Elephas maximus indicus: one gene and its partners. The protein of the gene in region 1 purifies or fractionates together with the protein of each later gene. This does not show direct contact. Links are inferred from orthologs where the notes say so. Each region holds a gene or a part of one and is shown in the gene's direction. Other genes may lie near its edges.

Region 1 (10,586 bases):
TTGTGCCTAACCCAGGCCATGATATTTTCAGTTGTCTCATATGCATGTGAAAGCTGGACAATGAATAATGAAGACCATAGAAAAAATGATGCATTTGAATCCTGGTGATGGCAAAGAATATTGAACATACCATCAACTGCCAGAAGAATGAACAAGTTTGTCTTGGAAGAAGTACAGCCAGAATGCTCTTCAGAAGCAAGGATGGTGAGACTTTGTCTCAGATCCTTTGGCCTTGTTATCAGGAGGGACCAGTCCCTGGAGAAGGACACCATGTTTGGCAAAGTAGATGGTCAGCAAAAAAGAAGGAGACTCTCAATGAGATAGATTGACACAGTGGCTGCAACAGTGGGCTCAAACATCGCAATGATTGTGAGGATGGCACAGTACTGGGCAGTGTTTCACTCTGTTGTACACAGGGTCGTTTTGAGTGGGAATCAACTCGATGGTACCTAACAACAACAACAACCGGAGAGAGATGTGGGAGGAGCTTAAAAATAAGGCACAATGAAACTCTTATTTATTAAAAACCAATTTAAGCTGCGTTTTAAATCTAGCACGGTGGTTTTACCATTGCAACTTAAAAAAAAAATCATAAGTCAGCCTATACCTGTCATTTATCACCAACCCACAGAAATTTCTTGTCTTGCCGTATTTACATTTTGAGTACGTTCTTGTTTCCTTGCCTCAATTGCAAATCTCCTGACCCAGGGGTCAAGTTTTACACTTCTCTGGCTCTCCTACCAGTCTACATAGTGGGCACTTTAAAAATATGTTTGGTTTATAAAAAAAATAATAGTGACTGTTAAATGAGCAGGCAGTTACACTCTACCATTCACTAGCATCATTGTTCCAGATGCTTGTCAACACAGCAGTGAACAACCTCTATCCTACACGGCAGAGGTTATGTAAGTGGTATTTATATTAATGACATGGTAAGTATGCAGACGATCAATTCCCACCCAAGGACTTACTTCTGATTGTTCTTCAAAATCTCTGCCAGAAGGACAGAATATCAAGAATTGCTAACTCTGAATATTCCAAATCACAAGATTTCTGCCATAGGTAAATCTTGCAAGTGTAAAGGATTTGTTTTTGGGAAAGGTGACATTCCCCCACCCTAAAAAAACCAAACCCATTGTCATCAAGTCTATTCCGACTCATAGTGATCCTATAGACATTAGAACTGCCCCATAGGGTTTCCAAGGAGCAGCTGATGGATTCGAACTGTTGACATTTTGGTTAGCAAATGTAGATTGTTGTGGCTTTTAATCACTGTGCCACCAGGGCCCAGAGGTGACATTAAAAAAAAAAAAAAAAACACACCAGTGCCATCAAGGTGACATGGTGACATTAGCATTTGTTAAAGGAACATTTTGAGCCCTACTAGGTCCAAGGCACCTGGCTGAATTTCACTAAGTAGCAGGCAGAAACGCCTTTAGAAGACATGTATCCTCTAGTCCTCTGAATTTTGCAGGGTTCCCTGTACTTTTTTTCTTTCCATTTGAATACAAAGAGGTAAAATCTCATTTTTAGTTTTTCAAAAGACCTGGAAAGAATCCACTCATAACGTATTTTAAAACATGGGAAATTGGAACAAGCCCAAGAAGAGGAGTCAGACAGCTGAGATTTGTCCCCAGTTCAGTCAGAAGTTAGCAGGATAACCCAAAGAGGCCACTTAGCCTCAGGTTCTTTTTCTATAGTGCTTAGTACCTTCCTCTCCCACAGCCCAGGGTTCTATCAAAGGGACCAGGAAAGGATGTTTGGGAAGTGCACTAGACTTCATGTAGATGTAAGTTGCTTCATGACATTTTCTCGAATGATTGAGATACTTCTTCCTAAGTTTACCAAAGACTTCCTAATTCTCAAGTGCACGACTTTCAGTTCTTCGTTTACTTGAACTTTCTGTGATATGTGACATCATCACAGACTATTCCCTTTTTGAAATGCATTCCTTCATTCTCTACTTTACTTTTTCCTGATTTATTTCTGATCTCTCTCATTACAAATCTTTGCAGGGTTTCTCTTTCTCTGTCCATACCTGAAACATAGGTAGTTCATAACATCTGACCCTTCAAGTTAATGAGCTCATCTCTTACCATAGCTCCAACCAGGACTCTATTTTGAATTTAGCTCACATTTTCAAGTGCCCGATGACACTGGGCATGTCCTACTGGATATCGCATCCCCAGAATCTTTTTTCACTGTTGTAAAAATACAGATAGCATGACATTTGCCAATTCAATATTTTTCACGTATATGATTCCATGACACGAATTACATCATTCCCCAGAATCTTAAATACAACACCTCACTTCACCACTCCATCCTCAAACTGCAATTGCTTTCTTAGTAATCTTAGATTTTAGATAACTACATCATATTCACCTCAGTTTTGCATGTCATAAGAATAGGAGTTATCTCTTCATTCTCCATATTTAGTTGATTTCCAAGACTTCTTAAATATTTCTCAAACCAATCTTCATTTCTTCTCCAATGTATTTGCCTTACTGCAGTCCTTGAATATCTCTAATACTAAAAAAAAAAAAAAACTAATACTAAAAAAAAAAAAAAATACTAAGGAGACTCTTAATAAGGGAATGTTACTATTACAACAGCCTTCTAAGTGGTGTCTCTCCACCTTCAGTTCCCTTTAATTTTCCCCACTTCTCCAGAATTTTCTTTGTAAAGTAGAATTATGAGTGCATCACACCCTTGATTAAAATCCTTTAATGGCTCAACTTCTATTAGATCGTCATTTAATATAATACAGAAGCTTTTCATTACCTAAGCCCAAATTGCCTTCCAGATTTCCATCTGTTATGGATTGAATTGTGTCCCCTGAACAATATGTTGAAACCTGAACCCCCGTACCTGTAAGTAAGGCCCTGTTTGGAAACAGGGGTTTTCTTTTATTATGTTAATGAGGTCATACCAGAGTAGGGTGAATCCTAAATCTAATTACTTCTGAGTGGTGTTTTATAAAAAGAGCAGAATGGACACAGACACGCAGGAGGAAGAGATCATTCAAGGAGTTGTCTACAAACCAAGGAACGCCCAGGGCTACTGATAAGGAAGCACTTTCCCTTAGAACAGATGGCCTGATTTTGGTTTCTAGCTTCCAAAACCATGAGGAGATAAATTCCTGTTCTTTAAAGTCACCCCGCTTGCAGTATTTTTTGTTATGGCAGCACTAGGTAACTAAGATATAATCTGCTATGCTTTATCTAAATAAATTTATGTATAGATCCCTAAAAGTTTATGATTACCTCTGATTTCATGAACATTTATATGCTCTTCCTTTTGCCTGGATGTCCTTTCCCTTCTTGTCTTCCTAGTGAAATTTTACACAACTTTTTTTTTTTCAAGGTTCTGCTGACAATTCTTTTTGGAGTCCTCTGTACCCACAGTAAGGCACCTCCATTTCTGGGCTCCCACTGTGCTTTGTACAAATCTCTATCATATCACCTTTTTACAATGTCCAGGGAAGGATCTCATTCTTTGAGCTCCCTGAGGGGAAATACTATATCCTATTGATCATGATATCCACTGTGCCTAGCACAGTGCCGGACACCTGGCAGGCTCTTGGTGAATATTTGCCAAATGAATGATGATGGAAAGAACTCTAGACTCTGAAGTAGGCTATAGGGACCTGTGCTGCTCAAAATTATCTGTGTGGCTTTAAGTTTCTTTGGGTTTTAGTTTCTTTAGTCTGTGAAAAGAGGAAGTAGTGCTAGATTTTCTGTAATGTCTTTTCCACCTTTGATACTCTAAGGTTGATGTGGTTGTCTGTTATAGAGGTTGACCACCACCTGTCTCTCAATTTGTTGTGCTGTGGTAGTCTGCGTGTTACTATGATACTAGAAACTATGCTACCAGTATTTTAAATACCATCAGGGTCACCAATGGTGGACAGGTTTCAGTGAAATTTTCAGACTAAGACAGTCTAGGAAGAAAGGCCTAATGATCTACTTTTGAAAGTTAGCCAGTGAAAACTATATAGATCAGAACAAAATATTGTCCTACTGAACTCAAACATGCCAACGATTGTGGAGAGGGCACAGAATCTGTCGACATTATGCTCTGTTATGCATAGGGTTACCATGAACTGGAGCCAACTTGATGTCAGCTAATAACAACAAAGAGGCTGAAACACACACATTTTGTCTGATCACAGAATGTTTTATGAAAATTAGGAATACTGGAAGGAGAGATTTCACATAAAAATCTGAATTTCCATCATATCTTCTGAAAAATCAGATAATTGGACAATACTGGTCCAATTTTGCTGAAAGGCTGTAGTTGATTCTAGCTGAATCATGCTGTCCCTTTGGATGGGGTGTGTGCTTTCTCCTTAACCAGCATGCCCACCTCTCCCTATTTCACCCACCTCTTCCTATTACCCCTACCTCATTGAGGCAGTATGTAAGTTGCTGCTTATTATCCCACTTTTAAAGTAGTTTTCTTTACTAAAGATGAGAGAAAAAACATTTCTTGGACCTATTCCTCTGTCAAAATGAGAAAATGAGGAATAGACTGAGATACTTGATGTCTTAGCCCTGACTGACCTTACTAATTTATGTATATTGTTTTTACATATAACAGGAAACCCTGGTGGCTTAGTGGTTAAGTGCTACAGCTACTAAACAAAAGGTCAGCAGTTCAAGTCCACCAGGTGCTCCTTGGAAACTCTATAGGGCAGTTCTACTCTGTCCTATAGGGTTGCTGTGAGTCTGAATCAACTCAACGGCAGAGGGTTTGGTTTTTGGTTTATATGTATAACATGGAGGCCCTGGATGGGGCAAAGGCTTAAGCGTTTGACCACTAACAGAAAGGTTGGTGGTTCGAACCTACCCAGAGACACCTAGAAGAAAGGCCAAAGACCACAGCTTTGACAACCCTATAGAATGCTATTCTATTCTGTACACATGGGGTCACCATGAGTCCAAATCAACTTGAGGGCAACGTTTTTTGTTTTTTGGTATGTAAAACACCAAACACAGCAACCCTATGTGTTACAGGCTAGTAACCTTTACGCAGTAGTAATCTTTATACAGATAACCAGGCCTTTTATTCTATGGTACCAATGGGTGTGTTCAAACCGCCAACCTTTAAGTTAGCAGTTGCCATGAGTTGGAATAGACTCCACGGCGGCAACTAACAACAACAAACACCAAACAATCTAGAATTTTTTCAGGTAGTACCAACCCAAAATGTTCTGTCCCCCCCCCCCCCCCCACACCCAAATCTGGACTTTAAATATCATATATCCTGATGATCCTTTCAGGAACTATCATTGTCTTAATATAGGGAAAGGCCAAGCCAATTTATCTTCTAATTAATGCAGTGAATTATTTTTTTTTCACCTGAAGCAACTGATGCATTGCATTATACTTATGTTTGCATATTTGTCATTAGAACATTCCCAGCTCTTTTCAAACCCTATGAAAACTGCGCCTGACCTTCAAGAATGCTTAGGATGGCTTGTCTGTACAACGAAAACTTGGTTACTAAGTGAGCACACCGAAGTGGCTCTTCACTTACTCTTTCATCGTTCCCGCTAGGTTCGTGTAACGTGTTTCGACACCTTCACGGGGCTGTGAATACGGGTCTATTACCGGTTAGGAAATAAGCATGAGCTGATGGGGCGGGGTGAAGACACGTGTCCAGGAAGACTGGCTTCGCCAGATAAAGAAGACAGCTGCCCTCCACGTCCTCCCCTTCTTTTTTGCAAGCAGGCTAAGGCGTTCATCATCAGTAAGTCAGGCCGAATGAAACACCTCCACGCCAGTGTTGCTGGTACCCCCGCCATTCCTTAGCTCCTAACCAGAAGGGGCGGGAGAGGGACGCTGTCACTCAGCCCCGCGGACCAATGGGAGAGAAGCGAGCCCCGCCTCCTTCCCTGAGCTGAGTTGCAGGCATGCGCATTGGACTTGCCAGCGCCACCGCCCATCAGCTGAGAATTGTAGCGCTCTGAGGGTGGGTGACCGTGTCCGGAGGAGGAGGAAGCAGAGCAGATCTGGGTAAGACGACCCCGGGGAGGGGACGCCCTGGCCCGGTGTCCCGGAGGCGCGGTGCCCCTGCTGCGGCTTCCGCGCCTCCTTGTTTGTGCGCGTTGTCAGGTAGCCGCCGCCCAGCGTTCTGCGGCGGCAGATCGCGAGGGTTGGGCCCGGGCTCCAAAATCGCCAGCTCCTGCCCACGCCCCCTGGCCCGGGGCGGCACACATTCCTGGTGTGCTCGGCCGGCGCCGCGGGGAGAGCAGGGGCGGCCCCGGCCGGCCCGGCCAGCCTGGCGCCCGCCGCGCTTCGCTGCATCCGGGCAGCTGCGCCCGGTCCCGCTGGCAGAGGCGCACTGGCGGGGCGGACGCGGAGCGACGCGGCAGAGCTCCGGCATCCAGGGACCGTCTAGACCAATACTTGTGCCTCCTGGAAACGCTTGGGCCTCTTCCTCTTTTTATCTCGGGGATTTAATCAACACACTTTAAAGTACTCTTCCTGAACAGAGAGGAACTGAAAAATATGTGGCTATAGTAAGCAAACCATGTATGTTTATTGAAGAAGCTCATCGTATTCGGTTTGCTATTTGGTTTGATGACATTGGTTGACACCCCAGCTTTCTTTGACCTTAATACTTGTCTTTAGCAGGTTTACTTAAAGACCTTTAAAACTACATAAAATATCCCAGAAATTTTTTTCCCCTTGTCTTCTAGGTAGCTTACTTTCTTGAAAACCTTTCTCTCTCTCTCTCTCACACACACACACAAATATACAAGAAGAAGAAGAAAAAAGCACATTGCCTTTCTGGTCAAATGCTGTATTTTTTCTTTCAGGTTTCTTACATTTGCTTGGCTCATATATTTACATTACTTTTTGTTTACTTCAGATTATTGTGTCCTGTCTATATAATTTCTTTTTTTTTTTTTTTTTGGTCTATATAATTTAAAACTTGCACGAAATCTGGAAGACAAGCACGTAATTATGAAATATTGTGCTGTTTAGTAACATAGATGGACACTTCTGCTCTGGGGAAGCCTGACCTGCACCTGGGCAGAGACTGGTCACAACAGTGTTAAACTGTGTCTTGTGACAGGTGGCTTTGCAGGCCACTTTGAGAAATTAACCTCCTACTTTGTTTGTGACTAGTTAAGAATTATGCTCTAGTTTCAAAGTTTCTGTGGAAGTTAATATGATACCATATTAACTCATTGTCCACATCATCTTTTTTCTTCAAACATTTTACTTCTTCTCCCAATAATAGTCAGCCCTATAAATTCAAAATAAAGAGGAAATGTTTGAATTTTGGTTATACCCTCAAACTTCAGCTAAGTGCCGGTGATCGAAAAGTAAATCATAAGATACCTTTGTAAGTCTCAGTAAAGTCTGTTGTGATTCCATTTAATTTGACAATTTAGTGTATGAAAGGGTAATCCATGGTATTATAAACTAAAACCAAAGAGTATAATAGTTCAGTGATAGAGGAGCTGAGCTTAAAGAAGTTGGTGGAACTCCTATGCCTCAGGTGCTGTGCATACCACAAGTCAAGGTCTTTCATATTTATATTCCAGAGGTAGGATTAGATAATAAACAGTATACTGATTAAATCATTTTAAATAGTGGTGAATGCTATGAAGCAGTGAGAGAGATTGACAGAGAGTGGCACAGGTGGTGAACTCAGGTCAGATGGAGAAGGTTTCTCTAGCATAAGACCATACTGATAAGAAGAAGCTCCATCACAGTCACATGGAGATCATGTGGAAGAGCCCTCTAGGAACAGGAAATGACCCTGAGCAAAGGCGGGAGGCAGCAGAGAGCCTGGGATGTATCAAGAGCTGCAAGAAGGGACTGGAATTCAGTGTCTTAGAAATAGTAATATTTACCCTCAGACAGAGTGTGTGTTCCTATACTTCTCTTCATTGATTCAACAAATATTTATTAAGCACTTAATTTGTAGCCAGGTACTGAGGATAGAGCGGTCCCCAAAATAGACAGCCCCTCTCCCAGCCCTGGAACTTACATGTTATGGCATAGGGTGGAAGGACGTCCAGTGCTTTTTGCTGGTGCTCACAATTAGGAACATGAAACTCACCATTTCAATCCCTTTGCTTATGATAAATTTAAAGAGCATGAAGGTTTATGGTTAATGCAAATCAAGGATTCTACAGTATGTCCAGTAATAACTGAGGGTAGTGTTTGACATGCAAGATTCTGTTATAAAATTTCCTTTGTTCTTTGTGCTCTTTAGAAGCAGATGAGAAGACTCACTATGTTTATTGCACTTTGAGCCTCCCTCCCCTTATTTCTCTTTATAGTGTTTTTATATCTTCAGAGAAAGATAATTTTTGCGGTATCTAGATGAGCGCCGACTAACAGAACTTTCTGCAGTGATGGAAATGTTCTATACCTATGCTGTCCAATTCAGTGGCCACTAGCCACATGTGGTTATTGGACACTTGAAAGGTGGCTAGTACAACTGAGGAACTGAATTTCTCATTTAACATAATTTTAATTAATTTCACATAGCCACGTATGGTTAGTGGTTACTTCGTGGGACAATGCAAGTCTAGATAATGATTATATACTTGTTATTCTGAGTGATAATAGTAAGTTGTAAAAAAAAAAAAAAAAAGGGCTCCAACTGTAAAAATGGTGTGGCAGCAGTATTGTTGTCTGACCCCATCATCTCACTTCACAAGGGGGGTGAATCAGGATTATCAGCCCATGGCTAATTACTGTGAAGCAAAGGTCAAAAATTCTTTCTTTCTCCAGCCTTTTTACCAATTCTGACACCAGCCGTCCCTCCCACGGTACTCTCTACTTCTCTGCTGGGTGTGATAATTCGTTGCAATGGCTACACAGAACTCACAGACAATACTCACGATTATGGTGTTTATTGGGAAGTAACAGGTTTCAAATCAGAATTAGGAATGACTCAGGATACAGTTCTTCAGTCAGGACATCTTCGCAGCCATGCCCACAGGCAGGCCTCTCCCTGGCCATTGGCGTCTTGACCCTGGGTCCCTTGCCTTTGGGCCAGCCCAGCCTCTGACCTGCTCAAGCAAATGTTACAGAGTTCTTTAACCCCACCAGTAAGTGCCCAGAGGCATTCCACTCGGCCAGTAAGCTTCTGCCCACAGGTGCTTAACTCTCTGGCTCTGTGGGTTAGTGACCCTAGCTCTGACAAGTGCCTGGAGGCACCTTACTCTGCCAGTAAGGGTCCTGCCAGAGGCATTCAGTTTTCTTGCTCCATGGGCTAGGAAGCTCACTGTACCATCTCCTGTCAGTCTCCTGGTTCTGCTGCCTCTGCTGCCGCCTTTCTGTGCCTTGCTTCTCACCATCTTTCACTGTCTCTGGTGTCACAGCTCTCTCTCACTCTCTCTCTGCCTCCTGGGGTCTAGGAGGTTCTCAGCAAAGGGATTCCGGGTCCAGAGGACATGCTTCACTCCTAGCTCTTTCTTGGTGGTAGCTAGGAGTAGCTTCCCTTCCTGCTTCTGGGATGGCAAAACTGACCAATTCCTTTGTTAGGGTTCCATACACCTTATTTGCATGTCTTCACCCCCACAAGGGTACCATGAAGCTTATCTGCATTATTAGCAAGCTGTCCAATCCCCTTGGTGGGCCACAAGCACCTTATTTTACATAATCTCACCCAATCATTTGGTGGGAGTTACAAGACTGGTGAGAAAGGCCATATAAAAGAGATCCATTGCATCTCATAAGTATTCTAAATGGGCTTTCAAAAGTATTCAATAAGAATAGTGCAGCTTTGGGCTAGGCACTGGAGACTGATGTAGAAAGCAAATATCTGTATAACTGCCATTGATTTAGCCTATAGATAAAGGTCATGAACTTTTAAGTCAGTTTATAGTTAGCCATCATGTATTTGTGTATATTGTGTTTGTTATTAGTCATCCAGTCGGCTCCAACTCGTAGTGACCTTACATATAATAGGAGGAAACTATGCCCAGTCCTGTGCCATCTTCATGATTGCTGTTATGTTTTGAGTCCATTATTTCTGCTACTGTGTCAGTCCAACTCAGGGAGGGCCTCTCTCACCTTCTCGGACCCTTCATTTTGCCAAACATGATGTCTTCCACTATATGAAATGTAAACATTTCCCTCAAGTAGCTAAACTCATTCAAGGCAGTAGTCTGTAAGGAAGAGATGTAACTCTTCCTGACTCCCTGCTACCTACTTAATAATCCTTCAAATTGCTTAAAAGTAGCAGACTTCATTAAAATTGCATTTATCTCCCTTTGCAGTTAACAAACTTTAACACCACCAACTATAGCATAATGTGAATTTTAAATGTGGTCTTAAAACACATACATGGTAATAGACAGCTGTATCGAATGATAATGCAAGTAGCTGTTGTGTTTCTGTTATACAAAAAAGCCAGGCTCTAAACTCTGTTGATTGATCCTGACTTAGTAGTGGTCCTTTTAGCTTTAAATGTTACTTTGGTTCTACAAGGCAGTTAGGTAAGCAGATATTAGTAAAAGGACCAGGAATTTTATTTGATTTCAAAATGCATTTGTGGACCTGGAGAGATCTGAATAGGAGGGTGATCTGAACTTGTTGAACAGAGAGAGG
Region 2 (10,509 bases), on another chromosome or scaffold:
TCCTCTCAGGCATCCCACTCTGGCCTTCTATTTCTTGGCACCTCTCATGTTTCTCCATCCACCACCTCACTTGTTAGGTGCAATCAAGTTGGTTCCAACTCACACCAACCCTATATACAAAAGAACAAAACACCACTGACCAGTCCTGTGCCATCCCCACAATTGTTGCCATGCTTAAGCCTGTCGTTGCAGCCACTGTGTTAATCCATCTCACTGTGAGTCTTCCTGTTTTTCGCTGACCCTCTACTTTACTGACCATGATGTCCTTCTTCAGGGACTGATCCCTCCTGACAACATGTCCAAAGTATGTGAGACGTAGTCTCACTGTCCTTACTTTTAAGGAGCATTTTGGTTGTACTTCTTCCAAGACAGATTTGTTCCTTCTTTTGGCAGTGCATGATATATTCAATATTCCCCAACACCACAATTCAAAGGTGTCAATTCTTCGGTCTTCTTTATTCACCGTCCAGCTTTCACATGCATAGGAGGTGATTGAAAACACCATGGCTTGGGTAAGGTGCACCTTAGTCTTCAAGGTGACATCTTTGCTTTTCAACACTTGAAAGAGTTCTTTTGCAGCAGATTTGCCCAATGCAATGTGTCTTTTGATTTTTTGACTGCAGCTTCTATGGGTGTTGATTGTGGATCCAAGTAAAATGAAATCCTTGACAACTTCAATCTTTTCCCTGTTTATCATGATGTTGCTTATTGGTCCAGTTGTGAGGATTTCTGTTTTATGTTGAGGTGTAACCCATACTGAAGGCTATGTGTGGTCGTTGATCTTCATCAGTAAGTGCTTCAAGTCCTCTTCACTTTCAGCGAGAAAGGTTGTGTCATCAGCATAACACAGGTTGTTAATGAGTCTTCATCCAATTCTGATGCCCTGTTCTTCTTCATATGGTCCAGCTTCTCAGATTATTTGCTCAGCATACAGATTGAATAGATATGGTGAAAGGGCACAACCCTGATGCACACCTTTCCTGACTTTAAACCACTCAGTATCCCCTTGTTCTGTTCAAACGACTGCTTCTTGATCTATGTACAGTTTTGTCATGAGCACAATTAAGTGTTCGGGAATTTCCATTCTTCGCAATGTCATCTATGATTTGTTATGATCTACACAGTTGAATGCCTTTGTGTAGTCAGTAAAACACAGGTAAACATCTTTCTGGTATTCTCTGCTTTCAGCCAGGATCCATCTGACATCAACAATGATATCCCTGGTTCTGTGTCCTCTTCTGAATCTGGCTTGAATTTCTGGCAGTTCCCTGTCAATATACTGCTACAACCGATTTTGAGTGATCTTCAACAAAATTTTACTTGTGTGTGGTATTAATGATATTGTTTGATAATTTCCACATTCGGTGGGATTACCTTTCTTGGGAATAGGCAAAAATATAAACCTCTTCCAGCCAGTTGGCATAGACTAGTGAGTACTTCCAGCGCTGCATCTGCTTGTTGAAACATCGCAGTTGGTATTCTGTCAGTTCCTGGAGCCTTTTTTTTTTTGCAGATGCCTTCAGTGCAGCTTGGACTTCTTCCTTCAGTACCATTGGTTCCTGTACCTCCTGAAATGGTTGGACATCGACCAATTCTTTTTGGTACAGTGACTCTGTGTATTCCTTCCATCTTCTTCTGATGCTTCTTGACTCATTTAATATTTTCCCCATAGAATCCTTCAGTATTGCAACTCGAGGGTTAAATTTGTTCTTCTGTTCTTTCAGGTTGAGAAATGCTGAGTGTGTTCTTCCCTTTTGGTTTTCCACCTCCAGACCTTTGCACATGTCATGATAATACTTTACTTTGTCTTCTCTAGCCACCCTTTGAAATCTTCGGTTCAGCTCTTTTACATCATCATTTCTTCCTTTCACTTTAGCTACTTAATGTTCAGGAGCGAGTTTCAGAGTCTCTTTTGACATCCGTTTTGGAATTTTTTTTCTATCCAGTCTTTTTAATGACCTCTTGCTTTCTTCGTGTATGATGTCGTTGATGTCCTTGCACAACTCGTCTGGTCTTCAGTCATTAGTGTTGCCAGCGCATCAAACCTTTTCTTGAGATGGTCTCTAAATTCATGTGGGATATACTCAAGGTCATACTTTGGCTCTCGTGAACTTATTCTAATTTTCTTCAATTTCAGCTTGAACCTGTATATGGGCAATTGGTGGCCTCTTCTGAAGTAGGCCCCTGGCCTTGTTCTGACTGATGATGCTGAGTTTTTCCATTGTCTCTTCCCACAGATGTAGTCCATTTGATTCCTGTGTATTCCATCTGGCAAGGTCTACATGTATAGTCACATTTATGTTGGTGAAAAAAGGTACTTGCAATGAAGAAGTTGTTGGTCTTGCAAAATTCTATCATGCAATCTCTGGCATCGTTTCTATCACCAAGGCCGTATTTTCCAACTGCCCACCCTTCTTCATCTCCAACTTTCACGTTCCAGTCTCTGGTAATTATCAATGCATCCTAATTGCATGTTCGATCAATTTCAGACTGCAGCAGCTGATAAAAATCTTCAATTTATTCATCTTTGGCTTTAGTGATTGGTGCGTAAATTTGAATAATAGTCGTATTAACTGGTCTTCCTTGTAGGTGTATGGATATTATCCTATCACTTACAGCATTATACTTAAGGATAGATCTTGAAATGTTCTTTTTGTTGATGAATGCAATGCCCTTCCTCTTCAAGTTGTTATTTCCAGCACCCACCTCACTTAGCAGCTAGAATTCTTAATAACAGTAATCATGATAGCTAACATTCACTGCGGGTTTTTATGTGCCAAGAGGTGCTATGTAAGTTGTCTAAATACACATAAATATTAAGGTGTAGATCAGTGTGTCCAATAGAAATACAATTTGAGCCACATTTGTAATTTAAAATTTTCTACTTAGCCAAATTAAAAAGGGGGGAAAAAAGCAGATGAAATTAATTCCATTAATATCTTTTATTTTAACTCAATATATCCAAAATATCCAACACATCATCAATACATAAAATCATTAAGGAGATACTTACATTCTTTTTTCTACAGAGTCTTTGAAATCTGGTGTGTATTTTACACTTAGAAAAAAACGTTTTTTTTTTTTTTTACACTTAGAGTACACCTCAATTCAGACTAGCCACATTGCAAATTCTAACAGCCACATGGGGCTAGGCTAGTGGCTGCTGTATTGGACAGCACAAATATAGCCCCAGGATGAAATCCGTCTCCACCTGGCCGTACTAGCAACTTTTCTAAGGATGGTGAGGTGTAGGGCAGTCACATTCTCTGTGAAATCAGCTGTTATACCCCTGCTTATAGGGCTGATTGTCCTGTCTACCAAAATTCAGGTCTGAACCTTGAACCAAAACCATCCCCTTATGTCACCTTTTAATGAAATAACAGATTGGCACACAAAATAAGGGATATTCTCTGTGAGTACACTTCTCCATTAAAAAAAATCATCTATATGAGACCAAAGGGTCAATGATTACTCTAAAGCAAAGATGAGAAGACAAGGGGGCAGGAAAAATAGAATGCTGGAAACAGAGCAACCAAAAGGCAGTTAAAGAGAATGTTGACACATTGTGAAAAATGTAACTAATGTCACTGAATAATTTGTATAGAAATTGTTAAGTGGGAACCTAATTCGTTATGTGAACTTTCACCAAAAACACAATAAAATATTATTTAAAAAAATCTCAGGTGTCCATAATCTAATAATCTAATTGAGATTAAAACCTTATAAATTGGAAGGAACGTATCTCAGAGTGCTACCAAAAAAATCCCATTGGCCTTGAGTCAGTTCCAACTCATGGCAACCCCATGTGTGCCGAGTAGAACTGCCCTCCATCGGATTTTTAAGGCTGTGACTTTTTGGAAGCAGATCACCAGGCCTTTTTTCCAAGACCACCAACCTTTCAGTTAGGAGTCAAGAACTCAGCTGCTTACACCACCCAGGAATCCAAAGTGGTACCAAACCCACTGCCGTGGAGTCGATTCCTACTCATAAACCAACTCACAGAGAAAAACTGCCCCGTAGGGTTTCCAAGGAACAGCTGGTGGATTCAAACTGCTGAACTTTTGGTTAACAGCCATAGCTCTTAACCACTGTGCCACCAGGGGTCCTCAAAGTGATACAGTAGTCCAAAACTTCTTAAAGCCTTTTTTTAACAAATGTATTTTTTGGAGGAGCTGACATTTACCTCTCGGAACTGTTACCTCCTGTGATGGGTTAGGCATGTTTCTTCCCTTCTGCATGTCCCTGTTGTTGTTGTTCTGTCTTCTTGATAAAGACTATCTGGGAGGGGTGGATTTTCCCTGGCCTGGAGCCAGATTGATGGAAGAATCCTTCACCCTGGTACCCTCTCTGGCTATTGGGCAGTCCTCTGACCAGGCTTGCCAGCCCTCATGGGGCCCCTGAAGGGAAATGCAGGACTGCTGACCTTTGGAAGGAAGGAGGGTGGTGAGCCATCACTCCCTGGTACTTTCTGGCACCGTACAGGCCCTGAGCTAGGCACTTTGCTGGTGCTGTCTCTTTATCCCTCAACAGCACTGGCTGGGGTCAGTATTGTTCTTAGTTGCCATTGAGTTATCTCGACTCATAGTGACCCCATGTGACAGAGTAGAACTGCCCCATAGGGTTTTCTAGGCTGTAATCTTTACCAGGGTCGAAGGCAATGGGTATATGTAATCTTCACCAAGGAGCCCTGGTGGTGCAATGGTTGAGAGCTCTGGTGCTAACCAGAAGGGTGGCAGTTCCAATCCACCAGCTACTCCTCGGAAACCCCTTTGGTTAGCAGCTGAGCTCTTAGCCACTACACCACCAGGGCTCCAGTGTTAGCATCTGCAAAACTGAGAGGTGAAGGGTCAAGCAGGGTCATGGGGCTAGTAAACTGACACAGCTGGGACTTAAACCTTCCTGACGTCAGAGCCCAGGGTCACAGCATTCCAGACATCGCGGGAGTTAATGCTTTCGGCCCACCCACGGACCTGGGAAAAGGGGTTTTCCAGCAAGGAATTTCTGTATCTGCATTCTATTCCTAAGTGAACCAGGCCTCGCAGGTGCTATGATTGATTTCGGTCTCAGGTATTCAGAGCAGAAAAAGGAGACGGCTGCAGTTTCTAGGTCACAAGGCCCAACCTCAGGAAACTTAGAGGGCTGTTCCACAGTTCTTTTCTCCCTCCCGACGAGTTTGCAGACCTTTGCCGCCGGGGAGCCCTGTTGCTTAAGTCCAGACCCTGGTTTGGGAGGGCAGTGCAGGGCGCCCGCCTACCTGCGGGGACCTGCGCTAGGTGTGGCTGGAGCGGCCCGGGATGCGAGTGGGCGGGGGCAAGCTGAAAGTTGGAGTAAGCAGGAAGTGAACCGAGGGCTCCCGCGGGAGGAAGCCTACTAGGCGAGCTCGGCTGCCGGCAGGCCTTGTGCTCGGAGACATGGTGAGCGAACGGGGCGAGGAAGGGGCTGACTTAACCGGGACCGAGGAGCTCGGGCCGGGGGCTGTAGGTGCTGGAAGTTGCTGGCGGAGTCCGAGGGCTGGGCCAGCGCTGCCTGTGGCCCGTATTCTTTGACAGCTTGGCCGCAAATGGCTCGGAGCCGCCGGGCGCCTGTTCCCTCTTCTGCCCTCCCCTGACCTCCGTGCCGGCCCGAGCCGTGTGGGGGTCCGAATTCCGGGACTAGAACTGCCTGCCAACAAGTCTCCTCCTCCAGCCGGCCCGGGTGTCGTGGCGCTCCCTACAGGGTAGAGCCTCTGCTGTTTCCAGCTTAAATTCCAGCCAGCGGCAGGCTCTCTACCCCTGCCTTTCACTTTTACTCCTACACAAAACTCTGAAGGATTGGGCTGCCCACCGGGCCTCAGGAACTGCCCCCCTGTCGGTAAACTGGAGACTTAAGGGTTTGTAAAAGAATCAGAACTTGGTTGTCTGTGGTCTAGTGTTGGCCCATACCCCTGGCCTGTTTCAGGAGGCTCGGTGGGCCTAGCAGGCAGGAGTTTAATAATGTTTTTTCCCCTCCCTGTTCAAAAACCTTATCGTCAAACCTGGAGGAGGCACCAGCCAGGGAGGGCTTGTCTGGCATTTCACCCAACAGCGAACCTGGTATTTCAGTTTAATATCTGCATAAGCAGGCAGCAGCTTGGGGCCTGGGAATAGTGCTAAGTGGTGGGGAAAGCAGAAGTTTGCGGCTCAACGGCCTGGGTACCTCGTGGGGGACTTGGACTCAGGCTGCTCAGTGCTCTGGGTCCCAGCAATGGAACTATGGCTAGGCTGCCCAGGAGGGCCAGGAGCCTAGCAGCGCTCCAGCTTCGGGGCTGGAGAGAGGGCTGGCTGGGCTGGGCAGAGCAGCCACTTTTAAGGGGGTGGGGGCGGGAGGCTGTGGAATCAGGGGAAGGCAGGGATGCCTCTGGGAGCTTGTAAACAGTGGTGGGCTCTGCACTGGTGGGGAAAGGACGCCATGGATGTCAGCTCCACCATCTTCTGTGCCTCTCAGAGGGGCCAGGAGCAGCAGAGAGGGGCTTAGTAGTGTGCTGCTTTTCCTTATCAGGAGCCCTGAGAAGCCAGACATGAATTTGCTTTAGTCTGTCTAGATCTCACTTTCTGGGGCTAAAGAATACATTTACTTTTGATTATACAAGTAATACACAAAAAATTCTCTTTGCAACCAATTCAGGCATTACAAAAAGCTAAAGGCCCCCTTCCCCTCCTCTGGCCTTTGAGACAGGCTTTCAGTTCCTCCACCACTGGGCCTCATTAACCCTGTGTTGCTGCCCAGGAGGAGGCCAGTGGAGGCTCAGGAAATGACCGGGTGCGGAACCTGCAGAGTGAGGTGGAAGGAGTCAAGAATATTATGACCCAGAATGTGGAGCGGATCCTGGCCCGAGGAGAAAACTTGGACCATCTCCGGAACAAGACAGAGGACCTGGAAGCCACAGTGAGATGGGGAGCCCGCCGAGGCTGGAGGGAGAGAGGGAGGGTTGTGTGTTGGGGGCAAGGCAAGTATTTATTTGTGGGCCAAAAAAGAACAGGAGAGACAGAAGTTTGCAATTTGCCATTTCTATGCCTTTCTACGTTTTGGGAGTTGGTGTGAGCTGAGTCCCTGCTCTGATCTTCCACTTCTACACTGAGTGGTACTGGGGCCCAAGGCATGGGATCAACGATCAGGGATTGGGGGGCTGATGCTTGAGGCATTTTCTGAGACAGATGGATGGCTCAGTCAGACCATGCACTCTTAGGCTTCCCTCCTATAAAACCGGTTTTCCCTTTAAAGGATGCCCTTGACAATTATTTAAGATTTGACCTCTCCAGGACAAAACTATTAAGTCTGGGAAATCCTACTAGGGGCCTTTGCCTTCTCCAGGAGTTAGCAGGCAGGGGGTGGAAACTGCTGGAATCTTGCTGAGTCAGCTTTAAAGAGGAGCTGGAAGGGGAGTGAAATTCTTTGATCCTGGGGTCCTCTGCCAGCTGAAGGCTAGAATAATATTTCCCACACATCTTGCTAGGCCTCCTTCTTCTCTCTCCACCCAGGGGCCGGGGCCAGATGCTCAGGAAGGGAGTATCTCCAAGTTCAGCAAAGGCTGGAGCCTCAGGTTCCATATTCAGCCAGGAGAGACGAGCTCTGGCTTTCTGAGTCCTGTGGTTAATCTTGAGTATAGCTCCTTGGAGTCCCGGGGACTTACTTTTTCTTTCTGCCACCCAGTCTGGGGAGAATGGCCCAGGGAAACTTAGTTTCTGCAACTGAAGTTGGGGGAAGAGGTATGGTTTTCCTCACTCCCAACACCAACACCAGCCCCACTACCCAGAATGCCCCAGGTCTGTCCTCCAGCTTCCGCAGCCCCCACAGGTAAAGGAGTCATGGAGCCAGGGAGATGCCTGCGCCTCCCCCAGGGTCTGCCTTCCCAAAGCGTTTTTCCCCTGGGTAGAGCATGTGTGTACAAGGCCCCTCCACGTGTGTGACAGTGCCAAGGGTAGAAGAGAAGATGGCAGGTTGGGAGCCAGGGCCCCTGCCACGTTTAGGTAGAGAACTCTCTGGAGCCTAAGAATTCTAAATTTGAACGTGGTCTGCCAGGTGGTTCTGATGATACATTTGTCAAGGTAGGAAGCTAGAACTTTTTTTTTTTTTTTTTAATTTCACAGTTTGTTATCTCAGCTTATAGCTGAAATATTTAGATGTATGGCATGAATTTTTTTTTTTTTTTTTTTTTTTTTTTTTTATGGCATGTGAACCTCCACCCCGAGGGGAAGGAGGCACTGGGTCACTTACTGTCTCTTATCCCCGACAGTCCGAGCACTTCAAGACAACATCACAGAAAGTGGCCCGGAAGTTCTGGTGGAAGAATGTGAAGATGATAGTCCTCATCTGTGTGGTTGTCTTCATCATCATCCTCTTCATCGTGCTCTTTGCCACTGGTGCCATTCCTGTTTAGAGAGTCCCCTCCCACCCTGCCCTCTGGGGCAACCCTCCATAGTTGATGGCAAGGGGGCCCTCTCTCCCGCCCTCCTCCACAGGCAATGCTGCTGGGTCCAGGCCTCCGGCTCCTTGCCTGAGGTCCCTCTGTACATTGCCTACCCCAGGGAGCACCTTGGTCCACTGGAAGGAGAGAGCTGGACTGTGGCTGCATTTCATGGGTCCTCAGAGTGGGTTGGAGAGACTCGGGGCCCAGTATGTGGCTGGGAAACTCTTGGTGGCCTGAGGGTAATAAAGACTTTTCAGTATCCCTACGTGCGTGCACGTGTGTGAGGCACTTTCTCCTTTCCATTTTGCCTTTGACTCTCCTGTTTCTATTCTTCCTGAAAACAGTCTCTGGCTGAGGTCCTCTGACTTGAGACCCAAGTTGTTGGAGAGGTGGAGAGCTTATGTTTGGAGGAGAAAAATGGAGCCTGCCTGTATTTCTTTATTCCTTCTTGGTCCTAACCCATTCATTGTCACAGGTCTCAAGAGCAAGAGTTTTCTGGGGGTCTTGGCATAAAGCAAAACCTTCACAGCATTTTAGTGTGGTGTGTAAGACTCCTATGTATCCCCCTTAGACCCTGCCGTGTCCCTTTACTCCTTGTCTGCTGGAAGTGTTAGCCAAACATGAAGCCTCCCTGATAGCAGTTAGGAATCTGGTGTAGGCCTCTTGCCTCTCCCATCACTGACCCTTTTGCAGTCTAGAACTGGGGGTTAAAGGAGCTGGACTGCTTTTTCTTTTCTTCTGCAAGCTCTTGTCTGTTGCCTGCCCTGCCCTTCTGAGACTTAGCAGGGCCCCTGGGTCTCAGCTGTCCTGAGGGGGCAAGCGTCTCTTCCCCACGTCCCATGGCTGGGCACAGTCAGTGTCACAGGACAGGGCCTGTGGCCCTCCTTCCTGTCCATGCACAATGGGCTTCTGTGTCTTCAGGCCTGCCTCCTCCCCACCAGGTTCCACCGTCATTGCCACTCTTTCTAGTGCCCAGTCTGGTTTGTTTTGGGGGGAGGAGCCTTGCCATCTGTGCCCCTATTCCCCTAGTCATGGGTTTTCCAGAATTGGAAACATATTTTGCAAAGGAAGTAGGGAAGGGGCAGGGTTGGGAGGCTGGATTTGGGACTAGTACTCGTACATCAGGAGCCCTGGTGGCACAGTGGTTAAGCATTCAACTGCTAAGCAGGAGGTTGGCAGTTCAAATCCACCAGCAGCTCCTTGGAAGTCCTCTGGGGCAGTTCTACTCTGTCCTATAGGGTTGCTATGAGTAGGAATCGACTTGATGGCAATGGAGGTTTTTTGGGTACTTGTAAATCAGGTCCTAGAATCATGTTTTCTCCGGGGAGAGAGAAGGAACCACAGAAGAGACCCTGGGGCAGTCTTTGCCACAACCATGTCCATATTCTTTCCTCAGGCCACTCCTGAATTTGAGGTCCAAGGAACTGAGATGAACTCTATATGTTCAGTCCTGGGGCGGGGGGTGTCCTGGAGGGGTGAGGGTGAAACCTTCTTGGTGTAGGGCTTGTGTTCACAAGATCAGCCCCAAGAGGGAAGCCCTCAATCCCCTTCCTCAAGAGAGGCCTTCATTCAAGACATTGGGGATGGGGTGGAGACAGGTGGCTGCTGATTTTCTGTGGCAGAGTGGAGAGGATAGATGCACTCTGTTCAGGGTGGCAGTAGACACAGCAGCCTCACCTCATCCTCTGATGGCGGAGTAAAATCATACCAGGGCAGAGCTGCACTTGCCCTCTGGTGAGAAGAGAACACAGAAAAGCTAGGGCTAACACTTTCCTCTAGGAGTCTGTGGCCCTCCAGTCATTCGGACTCATGGCGACCCCATGTGTTACAGTGTAGAACTGCTCCATTGGGTTTTCTAGACTGTAATCTTTAGGGAAGCAGATCCCCAGGCCTTTTTTCGGTGGTGCCCTAGGTGGGATCCAATGGCCAGCCTAAGGTTAGTAAAAAAGTGCAAACCCTTTGTGCCACCCAGGGACCACACCTTCCCCCTGGGGGTCCGTTTTGCGATGCACTCGCCAAGGTATCAGAGACCCCTTCCCTAGCTTGTTCATGGCTGTCTCCCGCGCCTAGCACAGTGCCTGGCA
Region 3 (10,906 bases), on another chromosome or scaffold:
CCATACGCATACAAGGAAGACCAGTTAATACGACTATTATTCAAATTTATGCACCAACCAATAGGGCCAAAGATGAAGAAATAGAAGATTTTTATCAGCTGCTGCAGTCTGAAATTGATCAAACATGCAATCAAGATCCATTGATAATTACTGGTGATTGGAATGCGAAAGTTGGAAACAAAGAAGGATCAGTAGTTGGAAAATATGGCCTTGGTGATAGAAATAATGCCGGAGATCGAATGATAGAATTTTGCAAGACCGACAACTTCTTCACTGCAAATACCTTCTTTCACCAACATAAACAGTGACTATACACATGGACCTCACCAGACGAAACACACAGAAATCAAATTGACTACATCTGTGGAAAGAGACAATGGAAAAGCTCAATATTATCAGTCAGAACAAGGCCGGGGGCTGACTGTGGAACAGACCATCAATTGCCCATATGCAAGTTCAAGCTGAAACTGAAGAAAATCAGAGCAAGTCCACAAGAGCCAAAATATGACCTTGACTATATCCCACCTGAATTTAGAGACCGTCTGAAGAATAGATTTGACGCATTGAACACTAGTGACCAAAGACCAGACGAGTTGTGGAATGACATCAAGGACATCATCCATGAAGAAAGCAAGATGTCATTGAAAAGACAAGAAAGAAGGGAAAGACCAAGAAGGATGTCAGAGGAGACTCTGAAGCTTGCTCTTGAGCGTCGAGCAGCTAAAGCAAAAGGAAGAATTGATGAAGTAAAAGAACTGAACAGAAGATTTCAAAGGGCCTCTCGAGAAGACAAAGTATTATAATGACATGTGCAAAGACCTGAAGATGCAAAACCAAAAGGGAAGAACACGCTTGGCATTTCTCAGGCTGAAAGAACTGAAAAAAAATTCCAAACCTCGAGTTGCAATAGTGAAGGATTACATGGGGAAAATATTAAACGACGCAGGAAGCATCAAAAGAAGATGGAAGGAATACACAGAGTCATTATACCAAAAAGAATTAGTTGATGTTCAACTATTTCAAGAGGTGGCATATGATCAGGAACCGATGGTACTGAAGGAAGAAGTCCAAGCTGCTCTGAAGGCATTGGCGAAAAACAAGGCTCCAGGAATTGATGGAATATCAACTGAGATGTTTCAACAAACAGATGCAGCTCTGGGGGTGCTCACTCGTCTGTGCCAAGAAATATGGAAGACAGCTTCGCAGCCAACTGACTGGAAGAGATCCATATTTATGCCTATTCCAAAGAAAGGTGATCCAACTGAATGTGGAAATTATAGAACAATATCATTAATATCACACGCAAGCAAAATTTTGCTGAAGATCATTCAAAAACGGTTGCAGTAGTATATCGACAGGGAGCTGCCAGAAATTCAGGCCGGTTTCAGAAGAGGATGTGGAACCAGGGGTATCATTGCTGATGTCAGATGGATCCTGGCTGAAAGCAGAGAATACCAGAAGGACGTTTACCTGTGTTTTATTGGTTATGCAAAGGCATTCGACTGTGTGGATCATAACAAACTATGGATAACACTGTGAAGAATGGGAATTCCAGAACACTTAATTGTGCTCTTGAGGAACCTTTACATAGATCAAGAGGCAGTTGTTTGGACAGAACAAGGGGATACTGACTTGTTTAAAGTCAGGAAAGGCGTGCATCGGGGTTGTATTCTTTCATCACACCTATTTAATCTGTATGCTGAACAAATAATATGAGAAGCTGGACTATATGAAGAAGAACGGGGCATCAGGATCAGAGGAAGAATCATTAACAACCTGCATTATGGAGATGACACGACCTTGCTTGCTGAAAGTGAAGAGGACTTGAAGGACTTACTAATGAAGATCAAAAACCACAGCCTTCAGTATGGATTACAGCTCAACATAAAGAAAACAAAAATCCTCACAAGTGGACCAATGAGCAACATCATGATAAATGGAGAAAAGATTGAAGTTGTCAAGGATTTCATTTTACTTGGATACACAATAAACAGCCACAGAAGCAGCAGAAATCAAAAGACGCATTGCATTGGGCAATCTGCTGCAAAGAACCTCTTCAAAGTGTTGAAGAGCAAAATGTCACCCTGAAGACTAAGGTGCACCTGACCCAGGCCATGGTATTTTCAGTCACATCATATGCATGTGAAAGCTGGACAATAAATAAAGAAGATCAAAGAAGAGTTGATGCCTTTGAATTGTGGTGTTGGTGAAGAATATTGAATGTATCACGGACTGCCAAAAGAACGAACAAATTTGTCTTGGAAGAAGTGTGGCCAGAATGCTCTTTAGAGGCAAGGATGGTGAGACTGCGTCTTACATACTTTGGACATGTTGTCAGGAGGGATGAGTCCCTGGAGAAGGACATCATACTTGGCAGAGTACAGTGTCAGCGGAAAAGAGGAAGACCCTCAACAAGGTGGATTGACACAGTGGCTTCAACAATGAGCTCGAGCATAACAACGATTGTAAGGATGGTGCAGGACTGGGCAGTGTTTCATTCTGTTGTGCATAGGGTCACTATGAGTCAGAACCGACTCAACGGCACCTAACAACAACGACAACAACAGTTATTAATTTCCCAGGGAGCCTCAAAGATTACACATTTTCTACAAAATTAGCCTGTGAGTATAGAGAAAAATTTTAAATGCTATTCATCTCCAAGAACTTTATTGGCCTTTAATTAAAAAAACAGGTATTTTAATTTAAAAAAGAAAAGAAAAAAATTTAAATAAAAAAAATCATAAGAATTCTTTCTGGAATTCTTTGTCAACTGTAGTAGCATTTCATTATTCTTCTTTTCCTCCCAAGTTTTTTTGAACACAAAATCTCAGATGAGATCATCCTAATTTGAGACTGGTAGTTGCAGTGAGTTGGAATCAATTCGATGGCAATGGGTTTTGGTTTTAATGGTGTGCTCTGGTGGCACAGCGATTAAGCATTCAACTGCTGACCGAAAGGCTGGGCGTTCAAACCCACATAGTAGCTCTGAGGGAAAAAAAGCTGCTGATCTGTTTCCATAAAGATTACAGCCAAGAAAATTCTATAGGGTAGTTCTACTCTGTCACATGGGGTTGCTATGAATCAGAAAAAACTCAAAGGCACCCAACAACAATGGAGCACAGTTCTGCTCTGGCATACATGGGATGTCCATGAGTTGGAGTAGACTCCATGGCAGCTGGCTGTTTGTTTCGTTTTTCATAGTAATGATAAACAACTATTTGGATGTTTGTGTCACAAACTCAGTATGAACCAGCTTTGCCTGTCTGGAGTTATATTCTTTTTTGCTTTTTGAACACTTTATTGTAGTTTTGGTGAAAGTTTACAGAGCCAATTAGTTTCCCATCTAACAATTTATACACATTTTGTTTCATGGCATTATTGCTGTCCCCTCAACGTGACGGCACTCTACCCACTTCCTCCCTGATTTGCCCATTTCCATTCACACAACTTTCCTGCCTTTCGAGCTTTGTTTTTGGGCAAATGCTACCCTTTAGGTCTGGTATGGTTGATTGTTCTGAGAAAGCACGTTCCTCACTGGTGTTATTATTCACTTTATAGGCCTGTCTATTATTTGGCTGAAAGGAAAGGTTATCTCTGGGACCGGGTTCAGTTCTAGAACTTGAGGATGTCTAAGGGTCAGAGTCTTATGGTTTCCACCAGTCTCTATCAGACCCATAAGGCTGGTCTTTTTTATGAACCTGAATTTTGTTCTATGTTTTTCTCCCACTCTGTCCAGAACCTTCTACTGTGATCCCGGTCAGAGCAGTCAGCATTGGTAGCTGGGCACCATCTAGTTCTTCTAGTCTTGGGCTAGTGGAGGCTGTGGTTCCTGTGCTCCATTAGGCCTTTGGACTAATTGTTTCCTTAAGGCTTTGCTTTTCTTACTCTTCTTTGCTACAGATGGAAAAAGACCAATAGTTGTATATTAATGGCTGCTAGAAGCTTTTAAGACCGTAGTCACTACTCACAAAACGAGGATATAGAACAACATTATGTTTATGGACTATGTTATGCCAATTGACCTAGATGTTCCCCAAGACTATGGCCCTAAGCCTTCAAGCCCAGTGCCTCTTTCCCTTGAGGCATTTGGTTACAGCTGGAAGTTTTCATAAGTGTGCCCCCTGTGTGTTCTACTATATACATGGATACATTTGCAGCACATACAAATGTGTTTGTAGAAATATCTTTCCCAAACCTATATATGGGTGTACTCCCATATGCCATCCTACATCTGTTCAGCTTACGTATCTACCTATGTATCCACTCATAAATTATTGTTATTACTGTTATTGCATGATTGTGTATGTACTGGTATTTACTGTTGTTGCCTTTTACTTGGAGTTATATAATTGATATACTTTTTTTTTCCTTTTGCTACATTTTATTCTTATATCCATACATTTTTAGAATGGAAAGTAGCTTACAAAAGGGTAAGTAAGCTTTACATAATTTAAATGGTCTGTTTTGGTAAACATGACATCAAATTTTTTTTTTAAGTAACAATGACTTTTATACTTATATGAGTAAGACTTCCTTAAGCAAGATAATTTTTCTGACATTTTTTTAAACTTAATTTTTGGTGAAAATAGACACAGCAAAACCTGCTCCCATTCCAGTTTCTAGACATAATGATCAGTGACATTGGTTACATTCTTCACATTGTGTCAACATTCTTGTTATTTCTGTCCTAGTAGTTTCATTCTGACATGTTATGATTATAGAATGTCACAGATTTTAAATAAAAAAGAGGAGCCTTGCCATCATTTTTCTTATTGAACCTTTGGTGTTTATTTGCAATAATAATTGTCCCTGGTGCAATCTTCATTTAATTCCATTGCTTTTAGAGAATTGTGGTTTGTTTTCCTCTTATGAAAACTGTTTTTCCATCAAAACACTATTGAATTTAGTGGTTAAGTGCTACAGCTGCTAACCAAAAGGTTAGCAGTTTGAATCCACGAGGTGCTCCTTGGAAACTCTAAGGGGCCATTCTACTATGTCCTATAGGGTCGCTATGAGTCGGAATCTACTCGAGGGCAATGGGTTTGGTTTGGACCAGGTTAATAACTCACTAAAAGTTGCTCTGGTGGGTATTTTACAAAAAAGGCTTTAAGGTAGAGACTTATCTGCTACTATTCGAGTAGGACCTACTCCAAGGAGCTAGGTTCTTTCTATTTTAGTGAGTGACCCGGCGTAAATAGGTTACCCTCTTCCTTCCCTTCTGTGAGCCTCAAATGACTTGTTTGTAATATGAGAAACTTGAACAAAGTTTTCACTGACTTGCCCTTTTTGCCCTGAATTGATTCTGGATGTGAGATGAAGAGGCTGAAATAGTTAAGGTGTCAACTATCCTCTCGCGGTCAGGTAAAAGCAGATGTGTATGTTAAAGTCGGGGTCGAATACACTAAAAACAAGGTCCAAAAGGCTGGGAGCGCAGCACTCGAGACTCTGAGTCTTACTCCCTAGGACGCTCGCCCCTTTTCCCGAAGATTCCTGGGCTTGTGGAGTGGGACTGCCATACCATGCCCACGGTACGCCTCTTATGGAGGCGACGAACTACATTTCCCAGAATGCTATTCAAGAAGCCTCACGGGCACCAATAAGTGCCCGGGTGACGCCATCAGCCAGCGCGGTGTTTGGACTTCACTGGTGTCGTGGCGCTTTGGGAGAAGTTAGTGTTCTGCCGGACTTTGGTGCTGAAGACGCGGTCCGGTGATTCCTTCGCCCCTTCCTTCCTACCCTCTTCCCGCCTTTTCCTGCCCTTCTCTGGCAGGATGAGGCGTGCAGGCCTGGGTAAGAGGAGGGATAAAGTTGGAAGTTCTGGGGGCCCTAGAACCGGCCGCGGTGGGCGCGGGGGCGTGGGAGGAAATCGGACCGGTCTTCTGGCACTAGCATATGGGCCAGAAAGCGAGATGTAGGCAGGGCATCTTGGGACACAGTGCCAGGTGGAAACATTTGCCCCAGATCATAGGGATTTCCTTAAGTTTAGGTCAGACCCAGTTTGGATGGTAGGTTAGAGAGAGTGCTTGAGGACTGGGGGGGGGGGGGGGGTATATACAGACACCAACTCGGTTGTTAAGTTTCTTTAGTCTAGTTACAGAGCGTGATTACTGAGTTTCGCAAAGGCTGTCTGGTTTCTCTTTTTCTACTGCCCCTTAATCTTATTTTCTTCAGAAGAAACGAAGTTTGAAAAGTGAGGTGTGCATGCGAAGCACGCTAATAAGGATCATGTTAGCCTGATAACAATGAGTTACAAAGGTAAAATGTACGTGTCATTACTGTTAAAGGCCCTGGTATGTAACATCGGGGTCAAAGGTGATTTTACCCGGGGCACTTCTTGTCTGAACCTTGTTACACTCATAAGTCATTGGAGTGTGGTAAGCCTTGGCGAATTAACATTTGTTTTTGATCTTTTGGCTTATGAAGGTACACCAAGCAGCAGAAATAAGTTATGAATGTGGATTTTTAGTGGTTCTTTATATTTTATAATACACGCTATTAGAACAGCATTTTCTGGTTATAAAGCTTTCTATAAAGTGACAATACCAAAAACAGTAAGAATATAAAAAATCTGCAAAATTAGTGTGCAATATAGTGGAAAATCTATGAAGTATTTTTTCAAAAGATAATGTTGCCTTTCTCAGGCACTATATAACACAGGAAAAAGAAAAAAAAAGTTTTCTAAAAATGTGTCAGTCACTTAAATAAAAGTTGCCAGTAACTTTAAACTTGTATGTTGATTTATAAAATTTAGCATGAGACACAGTTTTTTATGTAATTTTTATGAATATTTGGATAACAGAAAGTTGGCCAGGTAAATTGAAAAGGAAAAAAAGAACTAATTATGAGCAAGATTAGTTTTGTGTGCCCAAATGTTTTTTTTCATCAACAACAGCAACAGACATTTATTGTGTATTTGAGAGACCCTAAGTATCTTTTTTTTTCTTTTAAGTATCCTAGGTATATAGTCACTGTGGCCCTATTTGTGCTCCCTCCCCCAAGCTTGCAGTCTACCTGGGGAATAGGACTAGGTACAAAGATAAATTATAGTGCAAGGTGGCAACTACGTATATGGTCAAATACTGTATGAAGTTCTACAGATGGTGAATGTCTCGAGGATTTCAGTGATTACTGTGTATTTTGTGGAGATTTAGGAACTTGAACTAATCCTTGAATAATGTAGGTTAGGAAAGCTGAAGTTCCAGATGAGAACGTAAGCCAAAAAAAAAAAAAAAGTATAGGGCTGTTGATAATTGCTGTTGAGTTGGCACTGACAGAGGATCGGCGTGAGTCTGCACCAACTCAACACCAATTATCAGCAACCGTACATTTTTTTTTTCCCCCACTCGTCATGCTCTCATCTGGAACTTACCGTTTTTTCTCTCTATTATTCAAGATTAGTTCAAGTTCTTAAGTCTCCACAAAGTACACAGTAATCTCTGAAATCCCTGAGACATCCACCATCTGTAGAACTTAATATAGTATTTGACCACATACATAGCTACCACTTTGTACTATAACTTATCTTCATCATTTGTATCCTTGAGTCCATTAGAATGTGAATGAGATGTTTAAGGGATTATAATTAAGCTAATTTCGTTGAAATAGGGGGGATGGAAGTGCACTGTGGAGATCTTCAAGTGCCAGACCAAGAAGTTTGGACTTCGTCTCAGGGCCCCTTTGGATGTATTTTGCAGTAGTGTGCCATATTACATTGCAGGAAAGGGACTAAAGAAGTGGTACTCCACCCTGACTGTATGTTAGAATCACCTAGGGAGCTTTTAAAGTGTTGCTACCTGGACCCCAACCCAAACCAAAGTAAATTAGAATGTCTAGCCATAGAGTATTTTGTTTTAATGCTCTTTCTCTGCTGGTTTTGAGCATCAGCCAGGATTGAGAACCACTGAAGCAGAGATAAAAGGTCATTGGTGATTACTTAAGTGAATTGATAAAATTTACTTTGTTATGAAAAGGGTTTTTTTTTTTTTTCTTTTAATATACACTACTTGCTTTTTAAGGTATTACTGCATATCAATCTGGAATTTCAAACTTAGGGATAAATAATGAACCTGTAGATATTTGTGTGCAGAAGCTGCCAGATCTCACATGAATATCTAAATGATTTTGGCTCAGTTATTGATAGAAACTTCCTAAAAGGGGTAGCATTTATCTAAATTAACAAAGGCTAAGGATTACCTTTGGCACGTTCTGGCTTTTATACAGTTTTTCAAAGCAGTAATTTACACAAAAAGTAGGGTGGTTAAGTTTGGAAAAGCAGCTCCTCATTTTATTTGATTTTCTTTATTTTAGGGGTGGATGATGGTGTGAGGAAAGATAACTCTTCAATAGGAGAAATGTGCATTTAAAGATTTCTGGGCCCTAAATAAAAGGAGAATGTCTGCTTTGAATAAATGGAACAGTATGGAAGACCTCTAAAGTTAGAATTAAGTTAGGTTAAAAGAGCAAAACAAAGAAAATAAAGCAAGTCACCATTATTTTATGAAACAAATTCTGTGGCGAAGTTACTAAATGATTAAGTACAAACAGTCTGTAATTCCTTTTGGGCAAATGCTATATATTCAAAATCTTAGTCACATAAAGCAAGTAGAAGACGTTGTCCGTTTCTTTAAGGATATTGGTTCTTACTAATGTAGAGTTCGTACAAAATATCATTGATTGATGGAGAATACGTTTTTTAAAATGAGTTTTAATTACTGAATGGGGAAAAGAATTATGCCCAGTCACTCGAGTTCCAAAATTGTGTAGTAACATGTGGTATGGAAGGCTTTCTGGCTCGGTGTGTCAGCAGTAGAGGTAATGCAACAGTACTCCTCTGTTTGGAACGCACTTGTTCAACATTTTGCTGTGATTTTTGTGGTGGAGGTTGCATAGGTGCCTCCTACATGGCGAACATAGGAGAAGCATGAAACACCGTCAGAGAAGCATATGATTCTATTGTTGAGAAAGGCATGCACAGGAAAAGTTGAATAATAGTGATTTCAGATTCTATTCATTAATTAATTCATTTACATGTATTTATTGAGTGTGTCCATATTTGAGTGTCTTGAAGAGTGTGTAGGGAGTCTTGAGGGGGATGTACACCAATGAATGAAACAGACTTAACTTCTACCCTCATAGTGCAGTCTAGGGTGTATAGTAAGTGTTACACACAGCCAGAAATGTAAGAAGTCGGAGGAGGGAGTAGTCAGCTTTGCTTTCTAGAGAAAGTGAATTTGTGCTGTGCCTTAAAAGAGCTTATTGTTCACACCTCAACCATCCTTCAGCTACCAGCTACCCAGGACTCCTGTCCTTGCACTTCTTGCTGTCACTTTACCTGCTGTTTGAGTTCACTGAGACATATTGTTTCTATATCATCCTTACCCCCACATGCTCAGTCCACTGTCAGATCTGCTTGAATCCCTGTCTAATCTTGTCCCCACAATCCACATCTTCAACCATTCGTTTTGCAAGCAATCTCAAAAAGATTGGGGGCTGTGTTGTTCTGCAGCTCCTACATTGTAAACTTCCAACTCTAGATCAGTCCAACCATCCAGCTTCTCATCTGCTAACCTAGGCTGATGAACCCTTCTGTAGAAAAGTTACGTTTCCAAGAGGATTGAAACCATTACAATGAATTCCATCTGCTAGGTTTGTCTAATTTCCCTGGTAATCCTGTGTAACCCTGTTCACCTTCCTCCAACATTCTCCTTATTGTTTATTCCAAAGGATCACCACTTTAGCAGATTATCCTTTCTCTTCCTTTACTAAGAAAGTCGACGGCATCGATTGTTAAAAGACTTAAACGTTTTTGTGGTTAAATAAACCCTCAGCTATTCTTTCTTCCCTCAGTCCCCCAACCAATTTATTTATATATTCACTATTAAATGCTTACTCCACCTGTTGTTTGATTGCCTGATGACTATGAAGTACTATATTAGCAGGGTGGTGGTTACCGCATTCTAAATGTCATCCCTTAGAAGATAAGCTCCATAAAAGTAGCATGTAGAACAATGGATCTGGCATATAGTAGGCACTCAAATATTTGTTGAAGAATGAATGAATCCCTCTCCTACTTCTCAGCTAACAGTCCCCACAAGTTATTTTATCCCTCTTCTAGAGCTTCAACTTTTTATTTTTCTTGTTTGTTTTCCTCCCTTCGGCTCTTCCCCACTCAACTGTCCCTATATTTAGGAGAAAGAGGTGCGGGTAATGGACCTTCCTTTTGCTCAGAGTTCCCTCTCATTATATTATCCTCTTTCTCCCCCTCCTTTCACAGTCAGGCTTCTTTAATGGGTGGTTGATGTTAGCCTTTTTAGATTTTGTATTAGAATATATGCTTCCATTGAGCAGGGAATGTTTTCTGGCTATCCTTGTATAGATATCAGTGCTTATTTTAGTCTCTTGGGGGGAATCGGTAGGCAATTAATTAATGTATATTTAAATTAACAATATTCTTTGATTAAGAGAAGGTAGTGGAAAAAAATTGTTCTGTTCTCTGTCTGGCTATTAATTTTTAACATGAAGTATGAATATTATAAGCATATATGGTCTGCAACGCCCTCCAGGGGTCTTTTTTGGTTCTTTTCTATCAAGGTTTCAAAAGTGCCTTCTGTTTCTGCTAAAACTACATTCCTAAATCTAAACCTTGCAGGTGAAGGAGTACCTCCTGGAAATTATGGGAACTATGGCTATGCTAATAGTGGATATAGTGCCTGTGAAGAAGAAAATGAGAGACTCACTGAAAGTCTGAGAAGCAAAGTAACTGCTATAAAATCTGTAAGTGTACAACAACAACACATTTATAAACATATATGTGTACACATATATAATCTTATAAAGTATATGATTACATAGTCATCATACTAAGTAATTCAGTTACCCAAATACTGTGGTTCAATAAGGTCAAAGT

What was found.
Region 2: the proteins of STX7 (region 1) and VAMP8 purify together in Homo sapiens (affinity purification with mass spectrometry; 7 studies listed by BioGRID and IntAct, counting the BioPlex papers as one, with this or other methods). This does not show direct contact. The link is inferred for Elephas maximus indicus from reciprocal best matches to the Homo sapiens genes STX7 and VAMP8.
Region 3: the proteins of STX7 (region 1) and BET1 purify together in Homo sapiens (affinity purification with mass spectrometry; 3 studies listed by BioGRID and IntAct, with this or other methods). This does not show direct contact. The link is inferred for Elephas maximus indicus from reciprocal best matches to the Homo sapiens genes STX7 and BET1.

The regions. Positions count from the first base shown.
Region 1 is NC_064819.1:201,522,885-201,533,470, reverse strand, and holds the start of STX7 (syntaxin-7), read left to right. Parts: upstream 1-5,712; 5' UTR 5,713-6,020; intron 6,021-10,586. UniProt on the Homo sapiens protein: May be involved in protein trafficking from the plasma membrane to the early endosome (EE) as well as in homotypic fusion of endocytic organelles. Mediates the endocytic trafficking from early endosomes to late endosomes and lysosomes.
Region 2 is NC_064835.1:49,018,631-49,029,139, reverse strand, and holds VAMP8 (vesicle-associated membrane protein 8), read left to right. Parts: upstream 1-5,221; 5' UTR 5,222-5,411; coding exon 5,412-5,414; intron 5,415-6,744; coding exon 6,745-6,903; intron 6,904-8,251; coding exon 8,252-8,395; 3' UTR 8,396-8,709; downstream 8,710-10,509. UniProt on the Homo sapiens protein: SNAREs, soluble N-ethylmaleimide-sensitive factor-attachment protein receptors, are essential proteins for fusion of cellular membranes.
Region 3 is NC_064826.1:63,943,659-63,954,564, reverse strand, and holds the start of BET1 (BET1 homolog), read left to right. Parts: upstream 1-5,618; 5' UTR 5,619-5,771; coding exon 5,772-5,790; intron 5,791-10,648; coding exon 10,649-10,773; intron 10,774-10,906. UniProt on the Homo sapiens protein: Required for vesicular transport from the ER to the Golgi complex. Functions as a SNARE involved in the docking process of ER-derived vesicles with the cis-Golgi membrane.